4 linked regions of the Lepisosteus oculatus genome follow. The protein of the gene in region 4 purifies or fractionates together with the protein of the main gene of each other region. This does not show direct contact. Links are inferred from orthologs where the notes say so. Each region holds a gene or a part of one and is shown on either strand. Other genes may lie near its edges. The genes, in order: setd1a, bod1, ogt.1 and CXXC-type zinc finger protein 1.

Region 1 (7,842 bases), on a different chromosome or scaffold from region 4:
GCGCCCTGGGATTTTTAATGACCACAGAGAGTCAGGACCTCGGTTTTACGTCTCATCCGAAGGACGGCGCCTGTTTACAGTATAGTGTCCCCGTCACTATACTGGGGCATTAGGATCCACATGGACCGCAGGGTGAGCGCCCCCTGCTGGCCCCACTAACACCTCTTCCAGCAGCAACCTTAGTTTTTCCCAGGAGGTCTCCCATCCAGGTACTGACCAGGCTCACACCTGCTTAGCTTCAGTGGGTTGCCAGTTGTGAGTTGCAGGGTGATATGGCTGCTGGTAAATTAGCACTCACCTGAACCCCGAGTTGTAGGAACGTAACGGTCACTTTAACACACTCAACTCCTGTTGTCATCAGGTTTCCACCCACATGGTCACTGACACACACAGAAACTGACGCCACCAGCAGGTCGTCACTGACACCTCTCACACACCATCAGTAAACGCCGGAAGGGCGACACTAACCGGCACGCTGAAGTGGACTCCATCGTATCTGTAGATCTTCTGTGAAACCTTTTTCAAGGCTGGATCCACAATCAGCTTGTAGCTCCTCCACTGGACATTGAGGGCTCTCTGTGTGTCTGCCCCGCTGTCTGGATCCATACTCACTCACTGTTGAGCACAGGGAGGGAGGAACAATGCTTCAGTGAGGAATCCCTGACCCTGGTTAGTAACACATTAGCATAACTCATTGGTCCCCCCAAGGCTCACTGTGAGCAGCACTGAAGCGATTATCAACAACAAGCTCAACACATGCAACCGTCTTACCCAATAACATTCCAGTTCTCCCTGCCCTGCCTACGCCAACTGGCTCAACAGAACTCACATTCCTATATCTCAGAAGAAGTGACAGAAAATTCCCCAAACAGAAAGGCGTCTGATATCACCACCATTCAGGATAACACTGATGCTGTCACCACCACCACCACCGTCGCCCGCGGCTTCACATCCACACCAGCGCTCCTCGCGGCATCACACCAGCGCTCCCCACGGCATCACTACCACACCAGCGCTCCCCGGTATCACACCCACACCCCTGGCATCAAACCCACACCAGCGCTCCCCGCGCCATCACACCCAAACCCCCGGCATCACAACCACACTCACACCACCAACACTGCCCCCAGTATCGCATCCACCCCACCACTCCCCGTGGAATCACAACCACACCCACACCACCGCCGCCAACCAAATAGCACAATAACAACAGAACTACCCGTCCGGCACCACCAATCCAAAAAGCACAGTAAGAACAGAACCACAGGTCCAGCACCACGACCCAAACAGCACAATAACAAAAACCTTACAGTCCGACACCACGACCCAAACAGCTAAGTAACAGGACCAGTAGTCAGGCACCATTGACCCAACAAGTAGATTAACAACAGAACTACCCGACCGGCACCAACGACCCTAACAGCACAGTAACAATAGGCCCGCCCAGCACCACTGACCAAATAGCATAATAACAACAGAACTACCGGTCCAGCAGCACCGACCCAAACAGCACAGTAACAACAGAAATTACAGTTCGACACCACGACCCAAAACGGCACAGTAACAACAGAACTTACAGTCTGACACCACGACCCAAACAGCTAAGTAACAACAGGACCAGCAGTCAGGCACCATTGACCCAAACTGCACAATAACAATAGAACCACCGGTCCAGCACCACTGACCCAAACTGCACAATAACAACAGAACTTAACAGTGCGACACTGACCCAAACCGCACAATAACAACAGAACTTAACAGTCTGACACTGACCCAAACTGCACAATAACAACAGAACTTAACAGTGCAACACTGACCCAAACTGCACAATAACAACAGAACGTACAGTCTGACACTGACCCAAACTGCACAATAACAACAGAACCACCCGTCCGGCACCACTAACCCAAACAGCATAATAAAAAAGAACCGCCCTTTCGTGCGCCGCACTCTGGGCTCGGCCTGTAGTTTCAAGTTGAAGCCCTGCAGCCCGACGCTTTCTTCCACCGGGGGATCCTAATATTTTGGCCAGTCAAGCACACACCTGGACGTACACGCGTCCTCACTGGTTACGTACCGGGGTAAGAGCACATAAAGCCCGTGCGCTCCTGTCCGGAAGTCCGCCCAGCGGGACCGGGGATCGCCCGGCGCGCCGCCCCCTGCGAGCGTGTTGTTGTGTCCCGCGGAGGAGCGCACCGTCTCCCGCTTCCGGACACCAGGGACGGCAACACGCTGGTCCTCGCCTGCGGGCCACCCGGGCCCTGGACTGACTAACGCGCTCCTCGGGGAGCCTTCGCTGCGCTAACCGGGCTGGAGCGGAGTCTCCGGCAGCGGGAAAATGAAGCGGAGATCACCCGCCGCTGGGTACCTCACACCCAGCACCTTGACCCGGTCAGCCCGCCCCGGGGCTCCGGCTGTGGGACCCCGCGGTGCTGCCCGGGACTGCCCGGGTGTCCGGCGGTGCGACCGGCCCGGGGAGTAGAACTGTCGACCCCGAGCTCGGGCTGTCGCTACCCCGACTCGGCGCTCACCGTCACGGGCGGGACTTCACAGAACAACAAACTTCCCCGAAAATAATGGCACGCGTTCAATCCCGGGAATGAAGGTGGTATTGAAGCGAACAACGGGATGCCCTACCTTCTCCGTCCTCTCACCCGCATCCACCCTCCCGCCTCTCCCCCATCTCCACTGGGCCTCGGCTCCTCTGCCAGGCCGGCGCCCTCGCTCCCGGAATCGGCTCGCTTCAAACTCCCAGCCCGCGGCTCCGGCGCAGGCCTCACCCGAACGGGAGCCGCACAGAGCGCCGTACCCCGAAAAACCGCCACCCCTTCCACTCCACTCCCCGCCTTTTCGGCCGCTAAGAGCGTCGCTAATGTTCCGATTCTCGGATATGTGACCCCCAAGCAGAAATATAAACGGGAAGCGGTTTTTTATTTCGGAAAACGGAGATAAAAAATTAGCCGAGAGGCGGCCGCGTACTGACCTGAACACCTCGCCTGGTCTCCATCAGTCACTGCGAATTACATCCCTGTGTCCGCAGTCGCACTTTCTACACGTCTGTCTGCTAACCAGTGCACAAGAAGGCAGGGAAGGGAAAATACATTAAAATAAAAACGGAATCACTAGAGTCCTTGCTTTCTATCAAAACACAGATGTTTTCTTGTCCGGTTTACGGCCTTCGTTAGGCGTGATAAATATAAATAACAACAAGAGCGAACTCCGCCACTACTTCTCTCTGCCTATTAGCGTTAGCAGTTTTGGTGAATCTGCCGTTTTCGATCTCGAACTAAGTGTTCTCAATCGGAACTGCGCAAACAGCTCGCGCTCCCCCTCACAAACAAAAGATAAACTAACAAGAGATTCCCATCAGCTGATTCGTAGTCTTCAACACTACAACTCAAATGGAAAGACGCAAAGAGGACCTGTATTATTCCTTTGTTTAGAAGCATAGGCCTACATTTTTACACTTTTTACCATAAAATTGAGACGGTTATGGAAGTGCTATGTTCTAAAAGAGTGAGAACACCACCGTTTGCTTTAATAATACTTTTTTAAAAACAGTAGCATGCCTGTGGAAACTGCCGACTGTAATGGCGAGCTAGCTGTGGAGAAGTGGCGTGGTTACAGGCCGGAAGTGGGATTGAATGTTTTTACACGTTGCTGTGTTGTCGTATTTGAGCGCTACGTGTGAAATTCAGTGCTTCGGGAACCATTTAAACATTTTATTTTATACGAAGCGCCTTGTGTGAATTATACGAGACAGAAATAAGTCGATGTGAATACTATGAACTGCAGTTAAACCTCCTATCGTTGGCGCGCCGTCGCAACACAGCAACAAGACAACAGTCTTTGTGTCTGAAAGTGAATTTAATGCAGAAGCATCTATAACGACTCAGTGTTATCTATATATCCATGTATTTTAATAACCATTGAACGCTATTTTAACCTGAACCGGAGTCACCTACTTTCGGAGGTGACGGAAGGTTGCTATAGTTTTTTTTTCTTCAAAATTGTATTTAACATCAACCCATACTAACAAGGGAGAAAAAGGTATCCAAAAAGACCAGTGAACAAAGACAAAACACAGGTTAGATCTCTATAGTCGGCGGTTGATTCTGAGCGCCATCGCAGTAATCTGATGGTTCACGCACTCGGTTGTAGTCAGGTTTCTGTTAAGAGCAACAGTCATCGTCCACCCATAGGCCCGGCGAGTTTTCTTTACTTTTCTTACTTGGATTATGGACAGATAATAACTGTGCCGTACATAACCGTTTAAATTTATCTTAAAATATCAGCGTTGGGACTGCTGTGTGCGATGTACGTGTAAAACTAGGTGTAATAAATGTGTACAGAAAGTGGATTTACTGCCGTAGCATCGTCTGCTTGTGAACTATATTCTTCTCGATGAAAAAGGCACGGCGTTCCCACAGTGTCGGCTGTCCCCCGCAGCTGACCTGTGCGTCTCCGCGGCTCATGCCTTTATCGATCCGCTTGCTAGTCCAGAGGGGGGAGCTGTGGGTGACACCGGTGCTAGTGGTCATCATCGCTGCCTCGCAGGGCTGGGGCCTTGCTTTCAGTTCCAGCCCTGGGGTGCTGTCTGAGAGGAGTTTGCACGTTCTCCTCGAGTTCGTGTGGATTTCCTCCTGTGGCTTCCGTTTGCTCCCACAGCCCAAAGACATTTTCTTTCTAACAAACTAAACTTTATTTCACAATAGACATCTTACAATGAGTACACACTCCCGACAAGTCATACAACCTCTACTACAGTATATTGCAAACGCTTTTGAAAGGCTGATTGTCCTTTTCCAATCTGTGCAAGTGGTTGCTGGGGCTGGATTGGCACAAACGGAGTCCCTCCAGGCCCTGCCTCCTGCTGTCGTCCTTGCCTTTCTCCCTGTCCCGGCTCTGGAACTGTGGACATACTGGCAAGCTAAGTGGCATCTGTGAATGTGGAATGTGGCACCTGAGCATGAGTTTTACCTTTATAGTATTTCATACACGTACACGAAGCCCAGGCCTATCATCGTGTCACAGATCACCAGTGTGCTCTCACAAGTGTCACAAGGGTTGCAGTCGGTCTCTGTATCATTTGGCAGTTCAAAAGCCTCTATGATTCACCACATGATCAAATTCAACCTCAACAGCAGCTGCAGTCCTTTCCTGGCACACTGAAATTTAGAATATTGCATTGCTAACTTACAAGCCTTCATCTGGACATTAAATTATCACGAGTATTCAGCTATATATATGATAAAGAAGCATATATATATATAACTTTTGACCCACATATTGGCTTACTCGTATGAATAATTCAAATATTTGAAATAAGTGGCACATTAGTATAGTGGTGAGCGCTGCTGCCTTGCAGCACCGGGGCCCTGGGTTCAGCTCCTGGGGTGCTGTCTGTGTGGAGTTTGCATGATCTCACAGTGTTCTCATGGGTCTCCTCTGGGTGCTCTCTGCCTTGCACATGCTCCTTGCAGGTCTAGGTTATACCTCCCCCGTGACCCTGAATCGGAAGCAGTCGGAAAACGGTCGGATGAATTAGTGGCCCCTTCAGTTTCTGCCTGGTAGGACAGCAGCTTTAATCCCGAGTACCATAATAACAACAGGATCAGCTGGTCTCGGCCTCCTCGAGACGCCTCCTCTCCCACTGCGCGCTCAGTCGACGGCCGAAGCAGCGCGAGGGGAATTCTGATCCCAAAATACCCGCCAGGGTCCTGGATACCCGATCCCTGCTCCCGGAGAAGCGGTCACGCCCGGAGGAGGAGGCGTGTCGTCGCCTGAGCTCCCGACTGCTGACCTCCACCGCTCTCAATTGCTGCTGACTCGGACTGTGCAAGTTAATTAAGAGATAACGACCCCTCCAGACTCGGCACCAGGGCCTGGGGCCAGCTGGGTAAAACTGGAAAAGTCATTAAACATTCCTGAACTTAAAATCTCCCACCCCCCAAAACACACACTCATAATTAAACTTCCCAGCAACACTTTGATACCCCACGAGCGTCTACGTCAGGCCCTGCGTGACGCAGGAGGCGGCCCCTGCAGTGTTTGAGCCTGCTCAGTGTCATGCCTAGTGTTGTGTCTGTCTCGGGGGAAGGCGGAGTGTGTGCCCCCAACAGGCCCAGGCGAGGAAGAGACGAGACACACGGCCACCTTCTATTTCCAAAATATAATATTTAATTACGAAAAAAGCGCCGGGGATATTTACAAGACCGGACACAAAGGGAAAGAGACAGGGAGGCGGGGTAGCTCCCGAGGCCTGGCGCTCCCTGTGGGAACGAGGAGTTCGTCTCCGGGTGACGCTCGGGGCTCAGACAGGGGTGCCGCCACCCACCGAGAGGATCGTCTGTCGTGGGGACCCCCGCAGCCCACCTAATTGTCCTTGACCCCTTCCTCTTCCTGCAAGCTGGTTCGCAGCCCGACGCCTCCTCGACCACCCCCCCCCCTCAGGCCAGAGGGCAGGGAGGGCACGGGGAACCTGGGACTGGCCATTTCTCACTGCGGCCACTAGATGGCCCTGGAGCACCTGCAGGAAACCAACGCCAACACAGGGAGAACATGCACACTCCACACAGACAGCACTCCAGGTCCAAAGTTGAACCCAGGGCCCCAGCAACGCTCACCACTGCACCCCCATGCTGTCCCCATCCACTAATGTATAACCACTTATAATATATTGAATCGTACGCACTGATATCATACAACGATACATTTTTCGTTCCGCGCGATATATAAATGATGAATTTCTTTGTGGACCCCCTCGTTAAAGAACCGCCCTCCCTAATGCGGCCCCTGTTCCAGTGTCGGCGTCTCGTAGCCAGTGCAGGGCACACTGGGAACGAGTGATGGAGAGCAGGCGTGGGGGGGGAACACAGGAACAGGGAAGGTTCATTCCATGCTGAAAAGCAAAGAAATGAAGCAAAACGTTTAGGCTGTGGAGCCTTCTTCAGGTCTGTGAGGAACACGCAGGCTCCACGCAGAATGACCCAGGGTCATGGCAAACCCTGTGTCCTGCTGAGTCTCTCTGCCGCGTCAATGAATCGCCATAAGAAGCCGGGCTTCCTCACAAAGCACTCAGATTGGGCCCGGGTTCGAATTGCAGGTTACAGCTGGTGGAATAAGGACTCCCACTACAAGGGTTGAGGATCTCCAGCCCCAGCTGGGCTGTAATGCCTCTCACTGCCATAAAGATGTGATGGGACCTGATGCACATGCTCACAATCCTCAACGACACTGACAGAGTCGGTCCAATGAGCTTCCTCAGAACTCGGCAGCGGACAAAGGTTCAAACTACAGTCAATGCATTAAAAACTGAGAACAGGAGGCTCTGCTTTACACACAGGGTGGCGGGAGTGTGGAACAGCAGTACTGGACAGCTTGGTCAAGGCGATACCCTGGCTTTTGGGATCAACAACCCAAAAGGCCCGAACAGGCTCCTCTTGCCTGTGACCCATCTTGCGCCCGCATCCCTAAAAGAACTGCTCCTCTGCTTCACCGGCAGGCTGGCTGTCGGGAGGTGCAGGTTACAAGGTTAGGATTCGAACCCGTGTGGCATGCCTTTACTAGCACAGTCCCCCGGCAACAGCCCTGCATTCGTGCTCCCTGCACGGAGCTGAACCGGAAGTGATGTAACCACCCTCTTCCTCACACAGCGCCTGGCTCACCCTCCCTCCGCCTCCACCCATCCCCCCAGCCCCCTCCCTCGCCAGGAGCCGCGGGGGGGCAGCTGTGGCCGCGGGGTGCTCAGACCGTGTCCAGCTGTGGCCGCGGGGTGCTCAGACCGTGTCCAGCTGTGCCCGCGGGGTGCTCAGACCGTGTCCAGCTGTGGCCGCGGGGTGC
Region 2 (7,603 bases), on a different chromosome or scaffold from region 4:
AGAGCGATCCCCTGCCACGTGCTGGAGCGCAGCAGGGTGCCGCCGCTGGGATGCGGGCGCTCACACACCCACGCACGAGCTCGCACAATCAAGGCGGGGGCGCTAGCAAGCGCGGACGTGGACTGAGTGGGCTTGTGGGAAGAGGCGGCCGCAGCTTGCAAATTCGGACCCCTCCCCCCCCCCCCCAACGAATACTAGGGCGCTCCAGACGCGCAGCAGCCCATCGATTATCTGATTCCCCCTCCCCCAAAGAGGGAAGGGGTCACAGGATTTTCAAAAATGATGGATAATCGGGTCATTTTTTTTAGGAGATTATCTTTTCACTTTCGTTAAGAACACTGTGCTTTGGGGTGCTGTGCATGTTTTTTTTAGTCTTTTGATTTTAACTGTAGACAAATGTTAGAAATATTGTAGGGAGTGTGAAGAAGACCGACACACCCGAAGAAGGTTCCACAGCCGAAACGTTGTGTTTCCTTTCTTTTCTTTTCAGCATGGAATAAACCTATTACTTGTTCCTTTGCAGCCTACGCATGCCGACGCAGCTACCCACCTGAACTATAAAAATAAGAGTACACACACACACACAAAGTACAGTACTGCAAAAACAGCACTGTACAGTATGCATTACTTCAGCTTGTCTAATGCAAAGCACAGTATATTTAGCTTGGTTACAGTGAGAAAGAAATGATTGTTTCACATCCTGCAATTTACTTTAAAGTGTACAAGTAAGGTGCAAGTCTGGAAATATAATGATTGTGAAATAAGGTCAGCATTAATACAATTTATTTGGTCTGCTGCTGGAGTTACTTCCCAAAACAGCGGACCGAGCGAGGGAATCACGTGTTTGTGGTTCAGATTGTTACATAAAGCCCATGCACTGCTCGCTAGCACAGCCCAACGTGGTGCCACACCGCTCGCCTGACACTGCCTTCAGCGCGGATTTCCAGCAAACAGCAAAATTACACGCCACTCTCTCCAGGTCAGCCATGACAGCCAGAAAATACAAGAACCAAGATTACCGGTCGTCGAATAATCAATGATCTCTGTCAATGTACTGCATTGGCAGACATAACTGAAATACAGAACAGTACTGCTTCTGGCTACTGTGAGACAAAACTGTGTTTTTTTGTTAAAGTTTTTTTTTAAAAGAAAAAAGGGAATACCTTAACAGACATAAAATGATTGCGGTTTTGTCAATTAAAAGGTGCTAACTGAAGAAAGGAAGAGAGGATAAACTGCTTAATTAAATTTCTTACCAAGACCATTCTTAATTAAACTTCTACACTGACTATTAGGAACCCCCACAGAATAATATGTTGGGCCACAGCAGGGTGTAGCTTGTATTCCATAAGGGTTAATATTTCCAGTCTGATGATTAATGATTGCATTTTTACTACAAATCATATTTTTTTTAATACGATATTGAGCTGGAGAATGTAACATGATCAGATCCTTAAAGCAGCACACAGCTCTCACAGGAGGCAATTCTGGCTCGGATGGTGGAAAGAGGGAGTGAAAGAGCAGTTGCATTCTGCAGTACCCTCCTGAACATGACAAGTTACAAACAAGAGGTGGCCTTTTGTTCCTCCTAGTTCTATTGGTTGATAGTACCTAATTGATCCAAGCATCTATTCCAGCAGTTTCTGCAGAGAAACCAAGGAATTGGCTTCAACAACATGTTTGAGTAGCCTGTTCCACACTCCCACCACCCTTTGGGTAAAGAAGTGCATCCTGTTGCTGGTTTTAAATGCACCTCCCAGCAGATTCCACTTGTGTCCTCTGATCTTGCTACTACCAATTCTGAACTGAGCGGAGGCTGAGGACATAACTTTGAAAGCCTTTTCTCCCCTTAGGAACTGAGCCGAGAATAAAATCCGACCTCAAAGGGAAAAAAAAGAGTGCCGCCAACTCACTATTTTGAAACCCGCCTCACAAGATCCGTTCTACATTTAACCCAGACGCGGATCATCAGCTGGGATACACCCACTGCTCCTCTGCAAAATGGCTTTCTTCTCCTCCCTCACCCCAAATGAATGGTCACTAGCTGACCTTTAAACTGAAGTGAAAAACATGACATCTTCTCACTTATCTTTCCCAGTCTCTTGCCACGCGAGCAACTGGAAAATCACCCCGCACACCACGCAGGCTGGGGTTACTGGAGGAAGGAACTCACTGGACCACACTCTGTCTCAGGCCATTGCGCACTTGGTTCTTGTTGATGGCCGGATTCCACTCCTGGCTGTTCAAGTGATTGGCTACGAAGTTGTCCACCTTCTGCCGCAGGTTCTGATAGGCGGGCTAGAGGCACAGGGGTTAAAAACACACACACACACAACAGGTCAATTTCTCGGTTTCCACCGCCATTCCTCCTTTGAATCACAGGCACCTAATATGAAACCGATAAAGTTTAAAGTCGCCCGAAAGTTTCTGTTAATTCTTGTGTTGCAATAATTCCTGGAACCTGCAAATTTCCTTTCGTTTAGCATTTTTTTTTGTATCCTGCTCAAGACTGATTTTGGCCTCCGTCGAGCTGAAAGCGTTTTACACTTTGCTGGCCGCTTTTCAACGTAAAAAAGCGTCAGAATACTGGCGTCAGCTCAATAAATTCTCAAAAACCGCTATCTGCAGACTCTATTCACTGATACCGCCGGATCTGAGAAGTCTAAAATCACAATAACGAAAGTCGAGGATTTTCATTTTACTCAAAGCCTGCTGCGAGTCGGCAGTAAACAGGCCGTGAAGTAAATCAAACTTTAGACAAATCCGAGCCCACCTTCGTGTCCACGTCTGCCAGGCAGTCTCTGCGGAACTCGTCGAACAGGCCCCGGTTCTTCAAGTGCTCCACAATCTGGTTTATGAGCTGCGGGTCTCCAGGCGGCAGGCTCGCTGCACCGGCACCGCTCTCCGCCATCGAGTTGGCGTGGCCGCCGATCCGAAAATAACAAATGCTCAGACAAGTACAGTAACTTTCACACACATACAACAGGAAAAAAAACTTATCTCGCAATACTTCGCTCTTTCTCTATCGGCGAAGGTTAACAAAGGAAAGAAAAACAATGACTGAACTGCAGTCTGGGATCAGTAGTTTGGCATCATCTGCTAAAAACGGAAGGCCGTCGATGGAAGAACTACGTGTCCCAAGCCGCACAGAGCGCAATGGCTGAGGTTCACTTCCGTTTTTAGGGGCGTTTGGGTAATGTATTTTTCCTCTGCTTGGGTCCTCTAGCAGTGCAGTATGGTCTCGTATAAAACTGTTTTTGGAGGAGAACGTCCAGTGAGATTCCCCAAAGGTTGGCCAAGCCTAACGATAGGAAACCCGTGGTTTTACTTTCATTTATTTTTAAGTATCATAATGGTCCAATGTGTGGTCAAAAAAACAATTATCTTCCAAGACGTTTAAAAATATAAACACACACCAGCATTTAGTCTTTAACAGTAAGAGGTGTTGGGAGTAAGTCTGAGCCCTTCCTTCCTAAACTTCCTTCCTTATTACCATTAGTCTTGTTTGCAGGAAGTGAGAGACAATTAAGCTTTTCATTATCTACTGCATCTTGAGCGGCTTGTGTCTGGACACGTAACGAGTCACGCAGGAATTCAGTCGGTGTGCCTTCAGCAGCGTATGTAACTGCCGAGCAGGCAGTGCATTGTCCACCGTGTTTGTGCAAAACACGAAAAGGTGATTGGCCTCCATCTTATGGACCCACTGCTACAAGTGGCTGAGGTGGGAAAATTATTCCTCTAAAATTCACTATTTGCTCTCTTCATTCAAGATAAGTGGCAGTCAGGGAAGCTGCACAATCCTGAAGGGTGCTGGAGCCTGAAGGAGCTGGCAATTATCAATTGTATCAAATACCCTGGAAAAATCTACGATGGAAGGCCTTCTCTTGATTTGGAGTGCTGAATTAAATAACTGTGTGGTCCAAAAAGTATTGCGGTAGCCTATACAGAGCCGAACGGTGTACTATAATAATAATTAATAATTGCTTACACTTATATAGCGCTTTTTCTGGGCACTCCACTCAAAGCGCTTTACAGGTAATGGCCACCACCACCAATGTGCAGCATCCACCTGGATGATGCGACAGCAGCCATAGTGCGCCAGAACGCTCACCACACGTCAGCTATCAGTGGGGAGGAGAGCAGAGTGATGAAGCCAATTCATAGATGGGGATTATAAGGAAGCCATGATTGGTAAGGGCCAATGGGAAATTTGGCCAGGACGCCGGGGTTACACCCCTACTCTTTTTTTTGAGGAACGCCCTGGGATTTTTTAATGACCACAGAGAGTCGGAGTCGGGTTACATCTCATCCGAGGACGGCGCCCGTTTACAGTATAGTGTCCCCATCACCATACTGGGGCATTAGGACCCACATGAACCACAGGGTGAGCACCCCCTGCTGGCCCCACTAACACCTCTTCCAGCAGCAGCCTTAGTTTTTCCCAGGAGGTCTCCCATCCAGGTACTGACCAGGCTCACACCTGCTTAGCTACAGTGGGCTGTCAGTTGTGAGTTGCAGAGTGATATGGCTGCTGGCAATATTGTTGTACTGTTGTAACCCGTTTTAACTTGTTGTTGCTGAATGCTTCAGAATGAAACTCTTTCAAAGACTCAGCAACTTCATACTCTTCTTCTCACACTGACCTCGTCTCAGTGGTTAAAGAAACTTGTTCCAGTTTCCATGGCAAAACCTCACAGTGACAGACCAAACTGAAGGGCCAGTGTGATGGTCAGTGTTATTGAGCCCCTTTGATGGTGCATTTTAGAAGGAACGGTGTGCGCAACTATCTGTTTAAATACTTACAGGGTGTCTTTTAACTCAGGCTACAGGGAAAATGAATCACGTCCTCACGGCAGAAAGCTTGCCTGGCTGATCTTACTGGAGTTAAATTAGGCCTGCGTTGCTGAGCAGGCAATTACTGAAGCATAGGTATGCTGGATTATTCTGTGTAGCTCCTGCATATTAAGTGTGACATTGAGAAACCTGCTCCAGTGAGTGAATGATTGTGTCTTTTGAAACTGTTAAAGGTATACCAGCAGGAAATGGAAATCCTGACAAACCGTTCTACTGTGAAATCTGAATGCCTGGGCTTACACAATCCTCTTTGCATGTGTTTGTTTTAAAGCCGCATCCTAAACTGTAATTCAGGATGCAATTTAAATGAGAAAATTAGTATGAGGTGTGATCATTCACTGTGCACGTTTACTGTCTACAGTAATATCTGCCTGCATTTGATTTAATATCCTCACCCTTGTCTGTTGTCCTGTGTTACTGTGCCTCCACATTTCTCCAGGCCTTCTCATCCTGTTACCTGGTGATTAGTACTTCTTTTCTTTCCTGCCTCTTGGCCTGATCTTTGCATCCCTTTGACTCCCCTGGTAGCCACGTACTATACAGAGCTTACTTCAACACATTAGTGGCCACAGTTAAGTTACGTCTATAGTTACAGCCAGTGTTCCACTAGAGGGAGCTAATTCAGTGGTTGAATCAGGTCAGTTCTTTAAACCTAAGATACACCAGAACCGTAGAGTAAAAGAGATAAAATCATATATTTGTTTTAATTTTCAGTGTAAAATTGTACACTTTTTTAGAATGAAATATTTACATTTTGCAGTAAAATGAAAAACACATGATAAAATTAGGCATGTCTCACACCCTCAGGGGTACCCCAAGATAACCACTGAATGTTGTCAATAATAATAATAATAATAATAATAATAATAATAATAATAATAATAATAATAATAATAATTGCTTACACTTATATAGCGCTTTTTCTGGACACTCTACTCAAAGCGCTTTACAGGTAATGGGGACTCCCCTCCACCACCAATGTGCAGCATCCACCTGGATGATGCGACGGCAGCCATAGTGCGCCAGAACGCTCACCACACATCAGCTATCAGTGGGGAGGAGAGCAGAGTGATGAAGCCAATTCATAGATGGGGATTATTAGGAGGCCATGATTGGTAAGGGCCAATGGGAAATTTGGCCAGGACGCCGGGGTTACACCCCTACTCTTTTCGAGAAACGCCCTGGGATTTTTAATGACCACAGAGAGTCAGGACCAATAGCCACACCAATAGGACAATAGCCACACCAGGTATTAGTTGGATTAGTGGTGATGATGTTTGAACTGGATTCCATACGTTCTCACATCAGTGTAATTTGCCTTGAGTAGGGTATAGAAAGGATGTGCATAGTGGTTGTAGTTTAGTAGTTTTTTTTTTCCCTTGTTGTTGTGTGAACCTGAAAAGGCCACGGCAGAGCCTCTTGAGCTGACTGGACTCTGTGTGGCCCACAAACAGTGCTCAATGTTATGGGCCCAGACTGGCAATAATCCTGGACTTGCTTGTCTACTTTAACATGAGGAGTCCAAATTCAGAGGTACTTAGGGTCAGTGAAACCAGTGTGTGCTTGGGGATCAATAGCCAAGGCGAGATAGAGCGTATCTGTATTTAATAGGTGTTCTTAGGAAACAAAGCCGAGACTATTTCTCTGACAACCTCCCAGCCACGCCCTGCTGAGATTTCAGCTGTTCAGGCTTCATTATTACGCAACAGGCAGACGGTGATTCCACACAAAAAGGTTTTTCATTTCAGTGTGAAATTAACCTCTGCTTGTTCCTTTCGTTCCTGGTCATCCCTGTCTTGTTTGAATGTTTGTGTCAAGTAGTGGTTTTGTGTTACTTAATTGTGTTATTTCTTGCTTATAAATGCAAGAAATTGACAATACTTTGTTGCCGCTGCTCTGCAGTATGTAACTCTTTCACCGTTTCTTGGCTCTTACAGTTCATTGTTCTGAACAAAAGCTGCCTTGCGTAAAGGTGTCTGCTCAATGTTACCACAACTATGATATACATGTACACAAAAAAAGGCAGAAACGGTGGCGGAGTTGAAACATCATTAATGGATACAGCCTGGTGAGAGATACTGAAGTAATCGAGGCTGTGTGTCAGCTCTGAGCTCAGAGTCAGCAGGAGGGCTTTTATTTAACACTGTGGTCTAAATTCTTTAATTGAAAAGAATCAGCAGGAAGTCACTTCCTATATGAAGTCAATAGCAGCCTCTTGAGTTTCCAGGGCCTGTTGCCAGGCAACTAGAGAAAGGAGCCATGGCGACATCCAGAAGAATAAAAAGCAAGAGGCCTGCAGGTGAGAGAGCTAGTTCCCAGGTAGATGCCAAACTTATCACTGTTAACTGATTCTTGTCCGTAGTGCTGTGTGGCATCCTTCTGGCTTTTATTCTGAAAAGCCATGTTTCCTGTTGTGACCTTTGACCCTTTGACATTATTTTTAAAGGGGTGGTTAACAAGGAGGATGTCCAAAGAACTATAGTAGAGGAATAAAAATCTGCTGGAACAATTCTCTCATTTTGCCTATGATGGCTGAGAATCTAGACTTAGAGAGGAGCTGATGTGTCATCCCGATCAACAAGTGCATATACAGTCTATGAGAACATCACCACTTACTGGGGTCTGTGCCAATTTTTTTCACTCCAGATCTGCCTCATTTCTGAAGTAACAGTCTGTGTACACTCATCCTCAGGTTTCCATAGGGCATTTGACTTTTTTTTTATTGTACAGCTTATTTTATTCAAACATT
Region 3 (7,938 bases), on a different chromosome or scaffold from region 4:
TGGAGGACCAGTGCGTCTGCAAGTTTTGATTCCAACTCGGCTCGTTAACGAGATAAAACCGGGGTTAAGGTGTCGCACCAGCCCCCCCCCCCAGGACCAGAACTGGACAGGTGCCGTCCCGTGCTTCTCCCAGCCTGCACTGGGGCCCCTGCCCTTACCTATCCAGCCGGCGGCACTGGAAGTGGATTGAGGAGAGCAGCAGGAGCACGCCGGTGTTGTCCGGCTCCTGCCGCCACAGCTGCATGCAGTGGCGCTCGGCCGCCTCAAAGTCACCGGACTGGTACTCCCGGTGCGCCAGCTCTGCCAACCCTTGGAAGGAAAGCATACGTTTTGTCGGTTCTGGAGCAGAGTCACCAACACAACCCGGGGGGGGGAGGAGGGGAAAACAACACGTTAGAACAAATGGAGAAAAAAAAAATCAAACATGAAAACAAAGAATCTAAATAAAAAAGCAAAAGGTTAAATGTAGAACATTCAGTAAAACAGGGTGTTAAAACTTAAAATGAGGATGAAATGTTCTGAAACATAGAACAGCAGTGATCTGGACAACTTTAATGTTATCCAATGTCTTACCTGCACAGCTATATCATGCTCAAACACATTTTGCCCAGTTGGAACAATCCATGAAACTACCCAACTTTTTTTTTTTTTTTTTACATCAAGGCCGTTTTATGGCACAATTTTATGTTGTTGCCTTTAGAAAGTACTAATGGAGCTGAAACTCAAATTTGGTTTCCATTAAACCTCATTCTTCTTCACAAATTGTACACAGCACTTCAATCAGAAGTAAATTTTAATATGAGAAGCAAAACACAGTCCCCAGAAAATGTTTAACGGTTGCCAATTTCACAGGTTTTGTCAAATTACCTGAAATGCTGTTAGCACTATACCACCTTGTCATCTTACACCCTGGATCAACTTTAATACATTACATCAGAGATTTGCACATATTAACAAAATAAGGTTGAGGATAAAATGACCCAAAAATGAGAATGGAAATATATTATGTATACCGATAATGAAATGATGACAATACAGTGAACAAATGATATTGACAACAGAGGGTAAGCACACAGAAGAAGCCCTTTGCTACTGTGGTATATGGAGTTTACACAGATGGTGAGTGATTCCTTGTTTGCTCTATTCAGTACAAGCCAGATGGACTGCAGTCCACACCTTTGCAGAACCTAAACAGCTCAGGAATACATGGTTATACTCAGTCATACAGAGTGCATACTTTGTAATTAACTACAACAGCTGCTGCACTGAACTCAACACGGGTAATTAAGTAATTAATTCATTATCTGGGACAATAGATGCACACCAACAGGTACCAGAGGGATATGAACATGAACAGGTCATTTAAGTAAATTCTGAAAACTGAATGAGAAACCACCTAACTTGTGCGGTCTACATGAATATAAAAGAATTCTTCATCTTTCCAACATAGTAGTGTGATTTAATGTACTCGTTAGCTATTAAATATTACTTCAGTAGCTGTACAAAAGACGTACACCTCCACTAATGTTACACAGTACAGGACCCCCAGAATCACACTGCTGCTGGTTTCCAACTCAGCGCATAACTTAAACGAATCCTTAAACCTCACAATTTAAATCTGCTCAAAGGTAGGAGATCGTGGGTTACCTGCACAAGAAGGCAACTTCCACCATGATTATGAAGTAAAAACAATTCAAGAGTTCAAATTAATCATATTATGCTGCAGAGCTCAGTGCATAGCGCCTATTCTGAGCGTGATGTGACCTAAACCTGTAAAAAACGAAATCTGGCTGTTTTGTTCCACCTCTTAATTACCTAAATCAACTATTTAGACCCAATTAAGTGCTGGAGATTTAAAGAGATCTAGAGAAAATGAGCCACACCAGCACTTCAGGGACGATCCGATCTGGACGAATTAACGTGCGTATAATACCCGAGACAAAGGACGATTGGGAGGGACGTCTCGCTACTTTAAGCGCCTTTCAGTAAAAAGAAAACAAGACGCTCGAAACACACGCTTCTGCGCTATGCAAGCTCGGTGAGTTACTAGACGGTCCCTGGTTTGTCTAAACCCGCCAAAACGTTATGTTAAGCGAACTCGTGGGTGAAAAGGGCCGGCTCAACTGGGCTGCCGGACGCGAGGTGCACGGTGCCCACAAGCAGATTAACGACAAACTGGCCCTGGCGTGTCTCCACGCTTCTTCGTATCGTGTGGTTCTGCAACAGCGCAGAGGCCGCAGTCCAGCGAGCTGTCCGGCAGAGATGACGTCAGCGCTCCGTTTGCAGGTACTCGCACACACAAGCGAGGTTTAGCCAGCTAGTTAAACAAGCAGGCCTCTCCGGGTTTGTTTTTTTTACAGATTGTTCTGGCCATACTGTTTAGTAAGGTTAAAAGCCGCTGTACTGCAATGCCTTTTAGAAATACAAATACCACAGTTTCAAGTGGACTTTATCATAACTGCATTCATTTTCCCCCCCTAAACTCTGCTTCGACCTATGTCAGAGGGCTGTGCGAGTCGGAATCATTTTCACTGTTTTGTGCATCTCGCAATGAAGAAATGTCCAATTACACAATGCAGCCCCTGTTCTGGTTTCATGAACATCCATTCTCGTATCAATACCCCCCCGGTTTCGGGAGTGGTATATTACTAGTTTGTAAATTTAATCCCCATACAAGTCGAATTTAAAAGGGATTCGAACACAAAGCAACCGCTTCATGTCCAAAAAATTATTCCATCTCGTCTTTTACCTACTCTCCAGTCGTATGAGGCTAGTTTAGGAGAAGACCAAACTAAACTTTGCTGTTCATTCAATCTCAAGTTAATATTTAATTGAGCAAGCAAACGACAGAAGCCGTATTTACCTGTGCTGTCAGCCACGTTTCCAACTGAAGTCGCCATCTTCACAAGTCTTTTGAAATCGGAACAAAAATCGCTGTTAAAAATGCTTTGGATTTTAGTTTCTTCTCAAAAAAAAAAAAATTTAAAATTGACGACCCGTGCCGCGAATTCGCCGTGCGTATCGATCAGTAATGCCGGTGAGCTCGTCAACTACAAACCTAAAATAACACACGTTGACTCAGTCAAATGTTTGATATCTCTTCCCGATTTAAAAAAAATAAATATCGAGCGTTCGATTTTTTTAAATCTGACTGATCGCAATTTTTAAAAGGTGCTCTTTTATATTTGTAAACTTCTTTGCATAGACCAACAACCGCGTCGACAACAAAGCGGCTGTTCTAAATCCCGAAATGGCGGCTGCGACCGGGACTACTTCAACTGGTACAAATAGACCCCCTACGGAGGACCCACAGAAAAACGAAACAGCGGGACAACGGGAGGCAGCGTCGAGCCTTAAATGTCTAACGCTACGTAATAACAGATGTTTGTGGGAGGGGAACGAGAAGTTTCTCTCGGTTTGAAGCGGATGGAAAAATTCCCCCTTCGCGGATGTGTCAATACCAGAGACCGCTGTGTCTAGGAACTAGGCAGGGCTGTGTACCGATGCGCGGCAGCAATGCGGCAATGGGTGGGCCAGCCGGCACGTGGGGAGCCACAAAGCCGTATCTCGTACTGAACAGGATATGCTAATTGGGTTTTATGGAACTGTTCTTAGTCTAAATAAATATACATACTGGGCGGAGATCGCAAATGATGTCTTCTTCCAGAAAATCACGCAAAAAATTTTCAAGTATTTTTTTTGGCACCAATGTCAATTCATAATAAAAAGGCCCAGGGAAACGCTTTCGAGATGTCGAAAAATATGCCAGTGTATGTCTATTTTTTTCGACTGAATCCTGTATTTAGTTCTGTACATAAACTTCACAAATACAGCGAGGACCAACCAAAGGGTCTTTTAGCGTTCGTAGCAAATAATTCCTCACAGCCGAAACGTTGTTTTCTTTCTTCTCTTTTCAGCATGGAGTAAACCTTTACCTGTTCCTTTGCAGAACTGGTGACATACTGGGATATGGGAATTCCAACAGAATCGTGTCCTAATGTACACCCAGCAACAACTATCTCGTTTGTGTCTTGTTAGGACAAGTAGTGTTCGAGTTCATCTTCGGACGATTTCATTTTTAACACGTTCACAGCCCGCCGCACCGGGACAGAGCCGCAGTAGACGCTGTTGTGGTGTTCCAGACAAGCCCGTCTAGTGAAATCTACCGTTTAAATGTTAAGGCTTTGATTCTCAATGCATTATTGATCAAATAAGTGTCTTTATTTAATGAGGATGGTCTTCTCTTGCTCCGGGGCTTAAAATCACAAAACCAGCTTCCAGGTTCCTCTTTCAATCTGCACTTGCGTCTCTGAGCCGCAAAGCGTGCCTATGGCGCGCCCCCTGGCGGGTGAGACTGTCTACACACCCTACTCGTGATGTGTTGGATACCTTTTATTTTTATTGCCGACTTCATTTCAAAGCTTAACAGCAGTTACAATTTGGGAAAAGGCGATGTGCCGGAAAATGTAAGTATCTACGCCAACACAGAAGTTCTACCTCCCAACATCCTAATGGTTAATGATCTACACACGGTCAGGTCATGTCTGCCCAATCCTGTTCCCGGAGGACCAGTGTCCAGTTCTGTTTCATTAAAACTCTGCTTTTAACAACGTAAAACAGCTCGTCAACTGGACACATTTAGCTTCTCAAGTGTTGCCGTTCTAAAGACACTCAGAAAACTGATATATAGCTGATGTGTGGGGAGCGTTCTGGCGCACTATGGCTGCCGTCGCATCATCCAGGTGGATGCTGCACATTGGTGGTGGTGGAGGGGAGTCCCCATTACCTGTAAAGCGCTTTGAGTGGAGTGTCCAGAAAAGCGCTATATAAGTGTAAGCTATTATTATTATTAAAACCTGAGACCACGACGGTCTTCCAGGTTAGGTCATCGGATGTGGGAATTGTAATCTGAACAGTATCCGTCTGCAGCTCTAATCGGTAGTGTCGCGTGTTCGCCACACGAGGTCACTAGTCGAATTGGTGAAAAACCTTCACATTATGACAGTTTAATCTTTTTTTTTTTTGTTGTTGTTGCTCCATTTCATATCAAAATGTTTACAACCAAGAGAGGGCTTCTCAGGCTGTCTTGCCTGTTCTGTTTGGATTCATGCATTTCATTACTCTCGACCCTCCTTTTTTTTTTTATAGGAGTCCTCAGGATCACTCTTCTTTGAGTAAAGATGTCTCCTCATAAACACGGGGCCGAGAAGTCTGAGAGTTAGGGCATCCCCCTCCCCCCCACACCGTCTCGGTGTTTATTTTTCCCAGAAAAGAGTTGGGGTCCCTAGCTCCAGCAGGAGAGAGAACACACTCCCTCTCCCACCTCCCCGTTCTCCTTCATTAGCCTCTCTTTCTGTGTCTTCTTCCTCTGTCCCTGCTCCCTCACCTCTCTCGTCATCCTCCTCCGGTGCAGCTCCTGTTCCCCTGCTGTTCTGCGTTCGGACTGAACCCCCCCCCCCCCCCCCCCGGTCTCAGCGTGATGAGCTTGCCCCCGCATTCCTTCCTCTCCCGCTGGGAGACGGGCCGTTGCCCCCGGCGACCGTGAATGGCGGCCCAGGCGAGAGGAGAGTCGCCACGGTCACCATTAACCCCCAGCCACCCGGATGCCCCCCCGGTCAGCTGAGCACAGTGTATTTTAATTTGGGGAGAGGTTAGGCCTGCTGTGGTACCCTGAAATGCCCTGTCCTCTCTCCATGCCCTCTGTCCCCCCCCTCATCCTCCCTAAATATTCCCAGTCCCTCTACCCCACAGACCTTGTCCTTGCTGGCCCAATTCGGAATAGAGTGGAACCAAGAGACAGCATCAGCAATCCCATTGCATGGCTGTTGGAGCCGTTCCGGGTTTTACTAGCGACCACAGCAGGTAAGCGCGAGCTCAGCAGGTAAGGGGGGGCCGGGGATCTCGGCGTGCCGTCAGGCTTGGTCTCTGCGATGACGTCGCCCGTCTCCCGGCTGCTGAAGCCCCTGCTGGCCTTTCCCCGTGAGCAACCGCAGGGCAGGCCTGCGAGGGGGAGGGCAGCCCCCGGCTTTGTGTTGTGTCTGCGGGTTGTTCCCAGCTCCCGCACGCAGGGGCTGGGGCGCGGGAGGCGAGAAGAGCCCCACGGATTGGGAGAAGGAGAGGAGGGCCAGCCTGGCCTTCGGCCTCTGTGAATGTCTGTCAACACCGCCGCTTTCAGAGGGCGCTGGCTCCCCGGAGAGCCCCTCTGCACTTCAGCAGCCTGGCCCGGTCCGGACCGGACAGACCGGAGCCGCAGGGTCTTTCTGCCACAGGTTTACACGTTCCAGTTAAGCCACAATGACTCCTCTTCAAAAGTTCGAGCTCATTGTCGTTATCCTCCTCCACGGGTATATGGTAGGACGAAACGCTATTTAGCGGGCTCTCGGACGGTGAGTGGTGCAAACCACAAGACAAAGGTGCAAGAAAAGAGACCGAGGCAACGGGCAACGTTGACGTCCGATTTTGCACAACTGTTGCCGACAGAATGAAATAAAGGATACACAATTCTGGGGAGTAAACGTCTTGACACGTGAGGTAGAGGTAGATTTCGTTGTGCGTTTGAGTTTTGATCTAGAGAGAAGGCCCTGTAAGGGTTCAGATGTTAGGCGAGAGGCTGGGAGTTTGACAGTGTGGGGGTAAAAACTGTCTCCGAGTCTGGTGGTCGGGGCCTGCATGCTCCGGTACAATTTTCCAGGTAGGCAACAGCAGGACTGACTATATATAGATCCGGAGATACTTGTTTTTACTTGCAGGTATAGTTTTACTTCCCAGGGTTTTGTCAAATTTAACACCATTTTTCAGAGTTTTGAGGGGTGGTTCCTGAGCTCAGGGTCACCTATGGTGGTCTCTCTCTCTCTCTCTCCACCCCCCTGGGGCTTTTTTGGGGCACAGTGGACTGAACGAGCCCCCCTCTTTTCCCCGCAGTACAATGCCACAGGCTCTGGGCTCAGCTGGGCAGTAGTCCAGGCGAGAGTCTACTGGTGTTGTTTTGTGGGACATGCCCTGGTTTCTCTCTCTCTCTCTCTCTCTGGGGGTCAGAGGTCACCTGGCCAGTTTATCCACAAGGAATATTCCTACCCTTCTGTTAATACAATCCACTGTATCTTACTACAGCCTGTTTTTCATGGTCCCGTACAGTGCATCTGCGTGCGCTGTACGTCTGTGTTGTAGATGGACCACAAATCTGTTTAATTGATCAGTCTGTTTCATGGGGGGAAAAAGTCCCCTTTCAACCACATCAAAGGGTGGAGGTAATTCTGGTTGGGTGTAGTGCCTGCCTACCCCATTGACACCTGCTCTGTTGTTGTGGATAGGCTGAAACCCTTAGTGGTGTACATCACATGGCAGCCACTAGGGGGCATGCTGGAGTCACTGTCAACAAGCCCTCCTGTCCAAAATGACAGCTTCCTTATAAGAGAGCTTGAACAGCGTTCTGATTCCACTTTACTTACCCTGCACAGGTATTCACCTGATGTTGTCCAATTGACAGAATGAGAGGGGCACTGTGGGTTAGTGCGTCTGTGTTCAAACTCCCAGTCTAGGCCAAGGATATTCTCTGGACGTTGGTTCTCCCTTCAGGCCTGAGCTCAAGGAGGAACCTGAAGGAAGTGAGCCTTTTCAAACTCAAACATGCTGCTGTTGTAGGAGAACCCTCCGTCTGACACAGGAGTTGAGGAATTCCTTGAGGAATAGAAATTCAAAGTCCCCGCTTAAACCCTTTAAGACATCTTGTTTTTCCTGTAAACAGCCTTGTGGTTTTTATGCTACTCGTGACAACATTGGCTACTTAGGGCAGGAAGTGCCATTGTGTCCTGTCTGGTCAGGGTGAAGGATTGGTTTCACACGGGCCAGGGCCAAAGGGGGGGGGGATATTATTAACCTTTGTCGTGTGAACAGGAAAATTTAAATCATTTCCAGAAAACCTCTATAAACTACCAGCAT
Region 4 (8,059 bases):
ATTTCTGTGTAGACCATGTTTGTTTTATCCCTAATGACCAGACTAATATAATATACATCTGACTAAGTAAATCTATTTCTCTAATTGCCCCCCCACTGTTGACACAATGTCCGCCGTTCTGAAAAAGTGCAACGGTCATCTAACAGAAGAGATGCAAGACAACAGAGGCTAAGCGGTCCATGCACGTTAGACCTGTAACCTGGTTCATCCATAACGAACAAGTGGAAACAAACAGGAGACGTGAGTGCGCTGACCCTTGACCCCCGCCGCCGGTCAGTCTTGAAGTCCGGAGTGCCGCGCTGCTTCTCCAACCGGTCCAGCTCTGCCTCCTTCTCCCGGCTCTTCTTGAGCCGGTACTTGATCTCCAGGGAGGAGTCCTTCTCTGAGGAGGGGAGACAGGGTCACACTGACTGACCGACACCCCTCCTTTCAGGCAGTCAGGCAGAAGAGAGCTGACCAGTGACAGCAGCGTGATCCAGTCCAGGTTTCACCAGGACCTACAGCAACAGCTGCACTTCCAGCCCGTGACCTCAGAAAGAACGAGCTCGTACGCCATGACGTTAACGTACGTCTACCTTTCGGCACCGGCTGTGCGGTTCGCACACTGAGATCGGCCTGCAGCTCACAGCAAAACCCGGAATGGACCAACCTGCTGTGCAATACGAGACAGGTCTGTTTCCCCACAGTGTCTTCTGAACAATCAGTAACACACAACCAAAACGTTTTAAAAAAATCATCCAGCCTGGAGCCCCGGATTTCTAAATTACTTTCTGTAGCCTGGATAAAACAGCCGTGTCCCTTCCCATGACTTCACAACACAGGGAACCTGAACTACACACAAGGGTCTCCGACACGCCTGAGCCTCGAGGCTGCTCCCCGAGGGAGAGTCCCCCAGAGAGAGGAGAGGCAGGTCCTCACCCCGGCACTTCCCGCAGTACCACTCCCGGATCGCCTTGGCCATCTTCTCCGTCACGTTGATGCAGTTGCCATGGAACCACTCGTTACAGCGGTCGCAGCCGCTGCAGATGAGGAGATCACGCATGGCACACACAGATGGACACGCATGCACACACAGGGCCATCACACGCACACAGATGGACACGTGTGCAAGCACAGAGCCATCACACGCACACAGACGGACACGTGTGCACACACAGGGCCATCACAAGTACACAGATGGACACGCGTGCACACACACGCATGGCACACACAGATGGATACACGTGCATGCACAGGGCCATCACACGCACACAGACGGACACACGTGCACACACAGAGCCATCACACACACACAGACGGACACGCAGACACGCAATCCAGATGCACAGGAGAAAGAAAAGAGAAGAAAACACCAGTGCAACAGTCAGAAACAAAAATGTGAGCTCAAACCCTTACACCAGAGGTGACGAACCCTGGTCACCCAGGCCAGCAGACTCTATAGGTCACCGCTAAGTCACCCATTTCTCAAGATTAGTCAAAATTTCACAGTAATGAATAGAGCAGGACATTTTGAGATAATATAGGACCAAATCACGTTTCTCTCAGTCTCCACGGACCACAGTATTGTTAACTGATTAATTATTACATTAATGTTACCAAAGTCTAAAGACCTAAAAGACTACTTGACTGGGGCTCTCCAGGACCAGGCTTGGAGACCCCTGCCTGACACAGTGCACAGTACCAAGCTGTGTCGTACAGGAAACCTCTGTACAGACCTGCACTCTAACACTGTGCACATGGCCAATATTCTGTTATAAACTGTTCCATAGCTGTTCAAAACTTTTGACAATACCCTTGTAACACACCTCGCCAACAAAGCCCATTTTGAATTCTCAATCTCAGCAAGCACAACTAACAACAACAACAACAACAACACAAATTGACTCGCAAGTTTATGTTTCTTCTAGACTTCCTAAGATATTGAAAAATAAAAAGGGAGGCTTTGTCTAGGCTGTGCAGCGTGAGTGGCAGAGGGGTGCGTCGAGGCTGTGCAGCGTGAGGGGCGGAGGGGTGCGTCGAGGCTGTGCAGCGTGAGTGGCGGAGGGGTGCGTCGAGGCTGTGCAGCGTGAGTGGCGGAGGGGTGCGTCGAGGCTGTGCAGCGTGAGGGGCGGAGGGCTGTGTCAGGGCTGTGCAGCGTGAGGGGCGGAGGGGTGTGTCCAGTCTGTGCAGCGTGAGGGGCAGAGGGGTGTGTCCAGTCTGTGCAGCGTGAGGGGCAGAGGGCTGTGTCAAGGCTGTGCAGCGTGAGGGGCGGAGGGGTGCGTCGAGGCTGTGTGGGTGACAAGAGTGTCGGGCGGTGACGCCCAGAGGCCACGAGCTGGGGCGCAGGCAGGAAGCTGCGGGCGGCGGCGGGCTCTCACATCATGAAACAGTTGATGTCGGGCTTGCGGCAGATGCAGTAAACCGGCGCGTTCTCTCCGTTCTCCCCATTGTCGCCCTCCATGCTGCTCTCGGCCCCGGGGGCCTGGTCCAGATCCGACACCTCGCTGTCCTGCAGGGAGAGAGGAGGACAGGTGACCGCGCTGGACTCCCCTGGCCGCTCACCGCCGTGAGACCGAGGGAGAGGGCTGCCAGTGCTCTTGCAAACGGTCAGCCATGAGCAAACCAGAGCCCCCTAAAGCAGAAAGCCTACCAGCGCTCTTTGCTCGCGGTTCTGTGACGGGTGAACAATTACAGGGCTACAGCATCACACCACCTGTCTGACTGCACACGAAACAAGCGCTAACATTACTTTGTTTCTAATGTCTGTCAGTTATTTAAATGTGAACAGTTCGGTCGCTCAGCTAAATATCGCTTCCAACTGCTATGCTACCGTTCCAACTGGCCTATCACAGCAGCCAACAGTAACCGAACACAATATCTGATCCGAAAGCACGACCTTTTTTCTAAATGTGAAACAAAACAGAGACCAAATGCAAATCTATGAGCGATGCGTTCACGGGCACTAACGTATAATACAGATTTTCAAGAGGAAAGGACTCCCCGGTTGCGGTCATGCTGTGATCTACTTTCAAGACGGGTTGAAACTTTCCAATTTAACATTTAACGAAGAAAGGCGACCTGGTCGTTTTACGTAAAAAAAAAAGATTAGCTTTAAGAGCGGAAAAAGAAACGTGTTTTTCACAGCTGTAACTACAGAGAAACGAATCGTTTCAAACTATGAAGCTCAACCACCTCACCATCGCAGGAAACACGCACGGCCGCCTCTTCCTTCTTCGGATAAAGAGTAAGAATGATGAAGTAAGGCTATTAGCAGGTAAAGAATAACCAATAAAAAAATAATAATCGTCGCAAAAATCCCCCCCTTTCACTCAAAATAAACACAAAACGGGCTGTCCCGACAGCCTCCTGACTTCCGCTTCCGGTTCAAACCACCCGTCTCCCCACACAGACGTATTGCCAGACTGCTCGTTTGGAGAACCGTTGGTGTCTCTTATATCAACAGAATATACTCCTAAGGGGAGAAAAAAATGTGTTTTTTTTTACAGACTGTGGTTTATGATTTCTATTATGACGAATGAACATGTTTCTATGTTTCTATATGAAGAATGGGCAGCGGTAAACACCGCCCTCTAGTGGCCGGAGGGTGTATGATACCAGAGCCTGCGGGAGCGCTAGGCTGCGCCACCTGGTCGCCTCCGCTCGGCCGAGCTGTCGGACTGGACACTGGCCTGGGACAGCCGGCAGGCGGCCATGACCACATAACATAAACGCTAATTGCGTGCAGAGTAGACTAAAGCACATTAATGAGCAGAAGGACAGGAAGGTGAATAATTATCATAAGCATTCTTCCTTTTTATTAGGATCCCAGTATGCAACGCAAATCTAAAAATCTGCTTCTCAGCTCTAGATTTATTTTCTTGCTTGTTTGTGTGCTTATACAAAGACGCCTTTTCATATTGGAGTTCCATCTGAAAGTATTTAACAGTTTGTACTATTCTTGTGTATGGTATGACCATTCTACTGTTCTGTTACCGTGACAGGACTGTTCTCCTGTACTGGGACTGTAGCCCCTACTGTAACAGGACTGTTCTACTGTACTGGGACTGTAGCTCCTATTGTAACAGGACTGTTCTACTGCACTGGGACTGTAGCCCCTACTGTAACAGGACTGTTCTACTGTACTGGGACTGTAGCCCCTATTGTAACAGAACTGTTCTACTGTACTGGGACTGTAGCCCCTATTGTAACAGGACTGTTCTACTGTACTGGGACTGTAGCCCCTATTGTAACTGGACTGTTCTACTGTACTGGGACTGTAGCCCCTATTGTAACAGGACTGTTCTACTGTACTGGGACTGTAGCCCCTAGTGTAACAGGACTGTTCTACTGTACTGGGACTGTAGCTCCTATTGTAACAGGACTGTTCTACTGCACTGGGACTGTAGCCCCTATTGTAACAGACTGTTCTACTGTACTGGGACTGTAGCCCCTATTGTAACAGACTGTTCTACTGTACTGGGACTGTAGATCCTACTGTAACAGGACTGTTCCACTGTACTGGGACTGTAGCCCCTATTGTAACAGGACTGTTCTACTGTACTGGGACTGTAGCTCCTATTGTAACAGGACTGTTCTACTGTACTGGGACTGTAGCTCCTATTGTAACTGGACTGTTCTACTGTACTGGGACTGTAGCTCCTATTGTAACAGACTGTTCTACTGTACTGGGACTGTAGCCCCTATTGTAACTGGACTGTTCTACTGTACTGGGACTGTAGCTCCTATTGTAACTGGACTGTTCTACTGTACTGGGACTGTAGCCCCTATTGTAACAGGACTGTTCTACTGTACTGGGACTGTAGCTCCTATTGTAACTGGACTGTTCTACTGTACTGGGACTGTAGCCCCTATTGTAACAGGACTGTTCAACATATTACTGTAAATTGTAAATGTATAGTATTTATTTATAATACTAATATTTATTTATAATAAATATTGTTACATTACGCGATGTGTAGGTTACTGAACATTTAGTACAAGCGGTAAATACAACACCTTTACGTCAGTTCAAGAATTGTGACCCACATAAAGTTCCAAATTGAGTCCGCAGTGAAGATACAGTCTTGTATATAATTCCTACGAACTGGGTTATTCCACTGTTAGTTTTTTTACTGTAACCCTGTAGCCACCAAGATGAATAAATAGAATTCGAAGATTCAAAACAGAAAGCTGTCTTTTCCGAAATGATGGACTACAGTCCTTGCTGTGTGTCGTGCAGAAATCAGCAGTGCTTTAAAGCGGATCGTGAGAAATCAGCCGCAGTTTAAATTTGAATCTGAAATCTGAGCGCCGAGCGAGAGAGGGAGAGGAGTCGGAGAATGTGTCTGTGTGTGTGTGTGCGAGAGAGTGTGTGTGTGTGTGAGCGATAGTGTGTGTGGAAGTGTGTGTGTGAGAGAGGGACGGGCTCTGTAAAAAGTTCTGGTTGCCGCCTGGAGTGGACACAACAGTTAACCTGTTCGGACGGTTTTCATCTGGCGCCTAACCGCGCGGACACCGGACGTGGCACTGACCGCTCAGATTCCTTAATCTTCGTTTTTCAAGAAACACAATTCGTCCTGTTTTCTCCTCCGCTGTTAGACGCTTCCACGGTCTAAGACTGGCTCTAATTACGCTAAGGTAAGATCGTGATGTTTTACGGATTTAACGCGCGACAGATTAAACACATTACAGAGATTTTAGCTGTCATATTTGTCAGCCTTGACTGTGGTAAATTGTGCATCATAACTTGATACTAAATAATTGTATTTTATATAGCCCCTTTTGAGATACACAATCTTTGGGCGTTTTGTCATAGGATCATCAGCAAAAGAGTCATAAACAAATAGACCTTAAATCTATAGTATTGAAGACATACATTCTTATACAATCTCTATATATGTTGTTTGTTTTCTTAAAATGTCGTTTAGCTTAACGTTTTGAGTTTTTAAAGTGAACGTAGTATGCCTGGAACTGACACTTCAAGAAAATCTAAAAATAAAATAAAAAACATTATTTCCTCCGGGCGTACTTACTGTACATGTTCGCCCTAAGCGTCGGCTGTAACTGAAAATGCTGCAACACGTTAAAATGCCAGCTTCCCTGTGTGTAGAGGAATATGGTTTCTTATTAAAATCTTCCATAGAGCCTTAACCACCGGAGGAACAGCCCGGGGACCCGATACTACCCTGGCACACGAGTAAATAGAAAATGATTTCCACAAACGCTTGTTCTGTTGGGTCAAAACTCGTGGGGTTGAGTCAGTCGCGTTCCTGGGGGACAAATTGGGATTCTCGGTTTGTGCTTTTCAGCGGGGAGTCGCCGATTCCCACTTAAATCGGTTAATTTTCTCAGGAGAAAAAAAAAACTAGTTCTTACTTAACTGTCTAGAATGAGTCATCAATTCCCCGGCGGGGTTCCCGCTGCCCGGAGACAGGGGGGTCAGCGCCGGTCCGTTCGGGACCCGGAATGTGGGTCTCCGCGGGTTGTGCTCGGGTGTCGCTCTCAGGGACATTTTTCTCGACACGGACCTCGAACCCGGTGTTACCCGCGCCTTTCGGAGGGACGCGGCTGGACTACACCGGGTGCCAACAGCCTCCCTGCGCCCCCCTCGCTCGGTTAGTGCCCTCTTCAGTGAACAGCAGCGGCCTGTAGTCTCCAACGTCGCAGCTTGTGACCCGGGCAGTGCGCTCGGCCTTGCCGGGGGGGGGGGGGTGTTTGGAGAAAATCCTGTCATGTTTCGTCATTTCGTGTAGAAATGGCACGTCTCTCCATTCCTGGTTCCGAGCGCACGGTGACCTTAGAGTCGGAGGGGCCATGAAGGATATCAGTGGTATGTTATTCAAATCTGACCTTTAATTAATGACAAAATATTACCTTCGATGAATGTCAAATCGTTACCACTGATTCGTTTTTTGTTACCTCAGCGGTCCTGAAATGAGGAGGACCTCAGGGAGCTGGTCCTGGGTGCGCAGAAGGCCGAGACTCACCGGTGTTTAACGGTACTACATTAGCAGCGGTGTGACCCGCCGGTCTCTGTAGGCGACGAGGAATCTGCTGGTCTCGGTGGTGGAGTTTTTGCTCTCCCTGTGAATCAGGACCGGTGTAAAACGAGTCGAGGTCTAGACGTGTTGTTTCTCTTTCCACCGGCCTCACCGGAACAGGCCTCTGTCGCGACCCGTCAACGGCACCGCCGAGAAGCCCTGCTGCTGTACGGGTCCGTTCGGGACGGGACCCGGACCGGACCGCGTCACAGTTGTTGTTGTTGTTGTTGTTGTTGTTGTTTAACTACAGCTGTTATTCCCAGTTCTGTCTATAAGTCTATAAGCCACACAACACTGTCCCATGTAGAGGCGTACACCGCGTCTTTGTCAGGTGTACCGGTTCTTTCACAGCGGGGATATTTTCTGATGCGGGAACAGATCCGATTTTCCGGGGTGTCTGGCTGGCAGAATACGGGGGCACGGGAGTGACCAGCGGTGCATGACCGTTTTTCAGGGGGATACCCCCACTGACCTGCTTTTCGACACTTCAGGCCCGAGACAGTGGCTTGCTCGTCCGGAGGCGTGCGGAAATGGAATTCGCCGCACAGTCAGGGTAACTCGCAGGGGCCAGATGGACAGTATCTGTGATTTGTATTAACGGACGAGCCCGGGGCAGAAGGATACAGCGCTGCTGGGGAGAAGTTTATACCCTGAGCGAAGCCCAGTCTGCAGCCCCACGAGCAGTTCGCACGCTGACACACTGCTACAGTTTGTGGTGAACGAGTGTTTTAGTCAAGGTTAAGACCGCGTTTCCAACCATGTGACTTTATTTTTTTGCACGGGGTTTTTGGTGATTTTTATTCCCGAACAAATCAGCAAAGCGTAATTATTAACATCGATTCGTTACCTCAGCAAAAGAAAAACAAAACAAGAACAAGGTCCAGCGTTTGATTAACAGCTGGGGTCGACCGGTGTCTTGCATCCCCCGGACAGAGTTCGGAATTGCTGTCTTGTTCTGCTCCGAGTACTGTAAAAAAAATGACCGATCAACCGCAAACACGCAGAAGAGCACTTGAAAGCGAGGCCAGGAAGGACGTCTT

Evidence for each region.
Region 1: the proteins of CXXC-type zinc finger protein 1 (region 4) and setd1a purify together in Homo sapiens (affinity purification with western blotting; 16 studies listed by BioGRID and IntAct, counting the BioPlex papers as one, with this or other methods). This does not show direct contact. The link is inferred for Lepisosteus oculatus from reciprocal best matches to the Homo sapiens genes CXXC1 and SETD1A.
Region 2: the proteins of CXXC-type zinc finger protein 1 (region 4) and bod1 purify together in Homo sapiens (affinity purification with mass spectrometry; 4 studies listed by BioGRID and IntAct, counting the BioPlex papers as one, with this or other methods). This does not show direct contact. The link is inferred for Lepisosteus oculatus from reciprocal best matches to the Homo sapiens genes CXXC1 and BOD1.
Region 3: the proteins of CXXC-type zinc finger protein 1 (region 4) and ogt.1 purify together in Homo sapiens (affinity purification with mass spectrometry; 3 studies listed by BioGRID and IntAct, with this or other methods). This does not show direct contact. The link is inferred for Lepisosteus oculatus from reciprocal best matches to the Homo sapiens genes CXXC1 and OGT.

Annotation. Positions count from the first base shown.
Region 1 is NC_090699.1:15,682,593-15,690,434, reverse strand, and holds the start of setd1a (histone-lysine N-methyltransferase SETD1A), read right to left. Parts: upstream 3,318-7,842; 5' UTR 2,984-3,317; intron 616-2,983; 5' UTR 607-615; coding exon 469-606; intron 1-468. UniProt on the Homo sapiens protein: Histone methyltransferase that catalyzes methyl group transfer from S-adenosyl-L-methionine to the epsilon-amino group of 'Lys-4' of histone H3 (H3K4) via a non-processive mechanism.
Region 2 is NC_090706.1:27,680,924-27,688,526, reverse strand, and holds the start of bod1 (biorientation of chromosomes in cell division protein 1), read right to left. Parts: upstream 3,118-7,603; 5' UTR 2,912-3,117; coding exon 2,774-2,911; intron 2,299-2,773; coding exon 2,174-2,298; intron 1-2,173. UniProt on the Homo sapiens protein: Required for proper chromosome biorientation through the detection or correction of syntelic attachments in mitotic spindles.
Region 3 is NC_090703.1:46,135,125-46,143,062, forward strand, and holds the start of ogt.1 (UDP-N-acetylglucosamine--peptide N-acetylglucosaminyltransferase 110 kDa subunit), read right to left. Parts: upstream 3,267-7,938; 5' UTR 2,901-3,266; coding exon 2,864-2,900; intron 2,287-2,863; exon of another isoform or gene 2,212-2,286; intron 2,039-2,211; exon of another isoform or gene 1,951-2,038; intron 340-1,950; coding exon 159-339; intron 1-158. UniProt on the Homo sapiens protein: Catalyzes the transfer of a single N-acetylglucosamine from UDP-GlcNAc to a serine or threonine residue in cytoplasmic and nuclear proteins resulting in their modification with a beta-linked N-acetylglucosamine (O-GlcNAc).
Region 4 is NC_090697.1:75,677,189-75,685,247, reverse strand, and holds the start of CXXC-type zinc finger protein 1, read right to left. Parts: upstream 3,389-8,059; 5' UTR 3,180-3,388; coding exon 3,177-3,179; intron 2,489-3,176; coding exon 2,358-2,488; intron 1,020-2,357; coding exon 919-1,019; intron 383-918; coding exon 255-382; intron 1-254. UniProt on the Homo sapiens protein: Transcriptional activator that exhibits a unique DNA binding specificity for CpG unmethylated motifs with a preference for CpGG.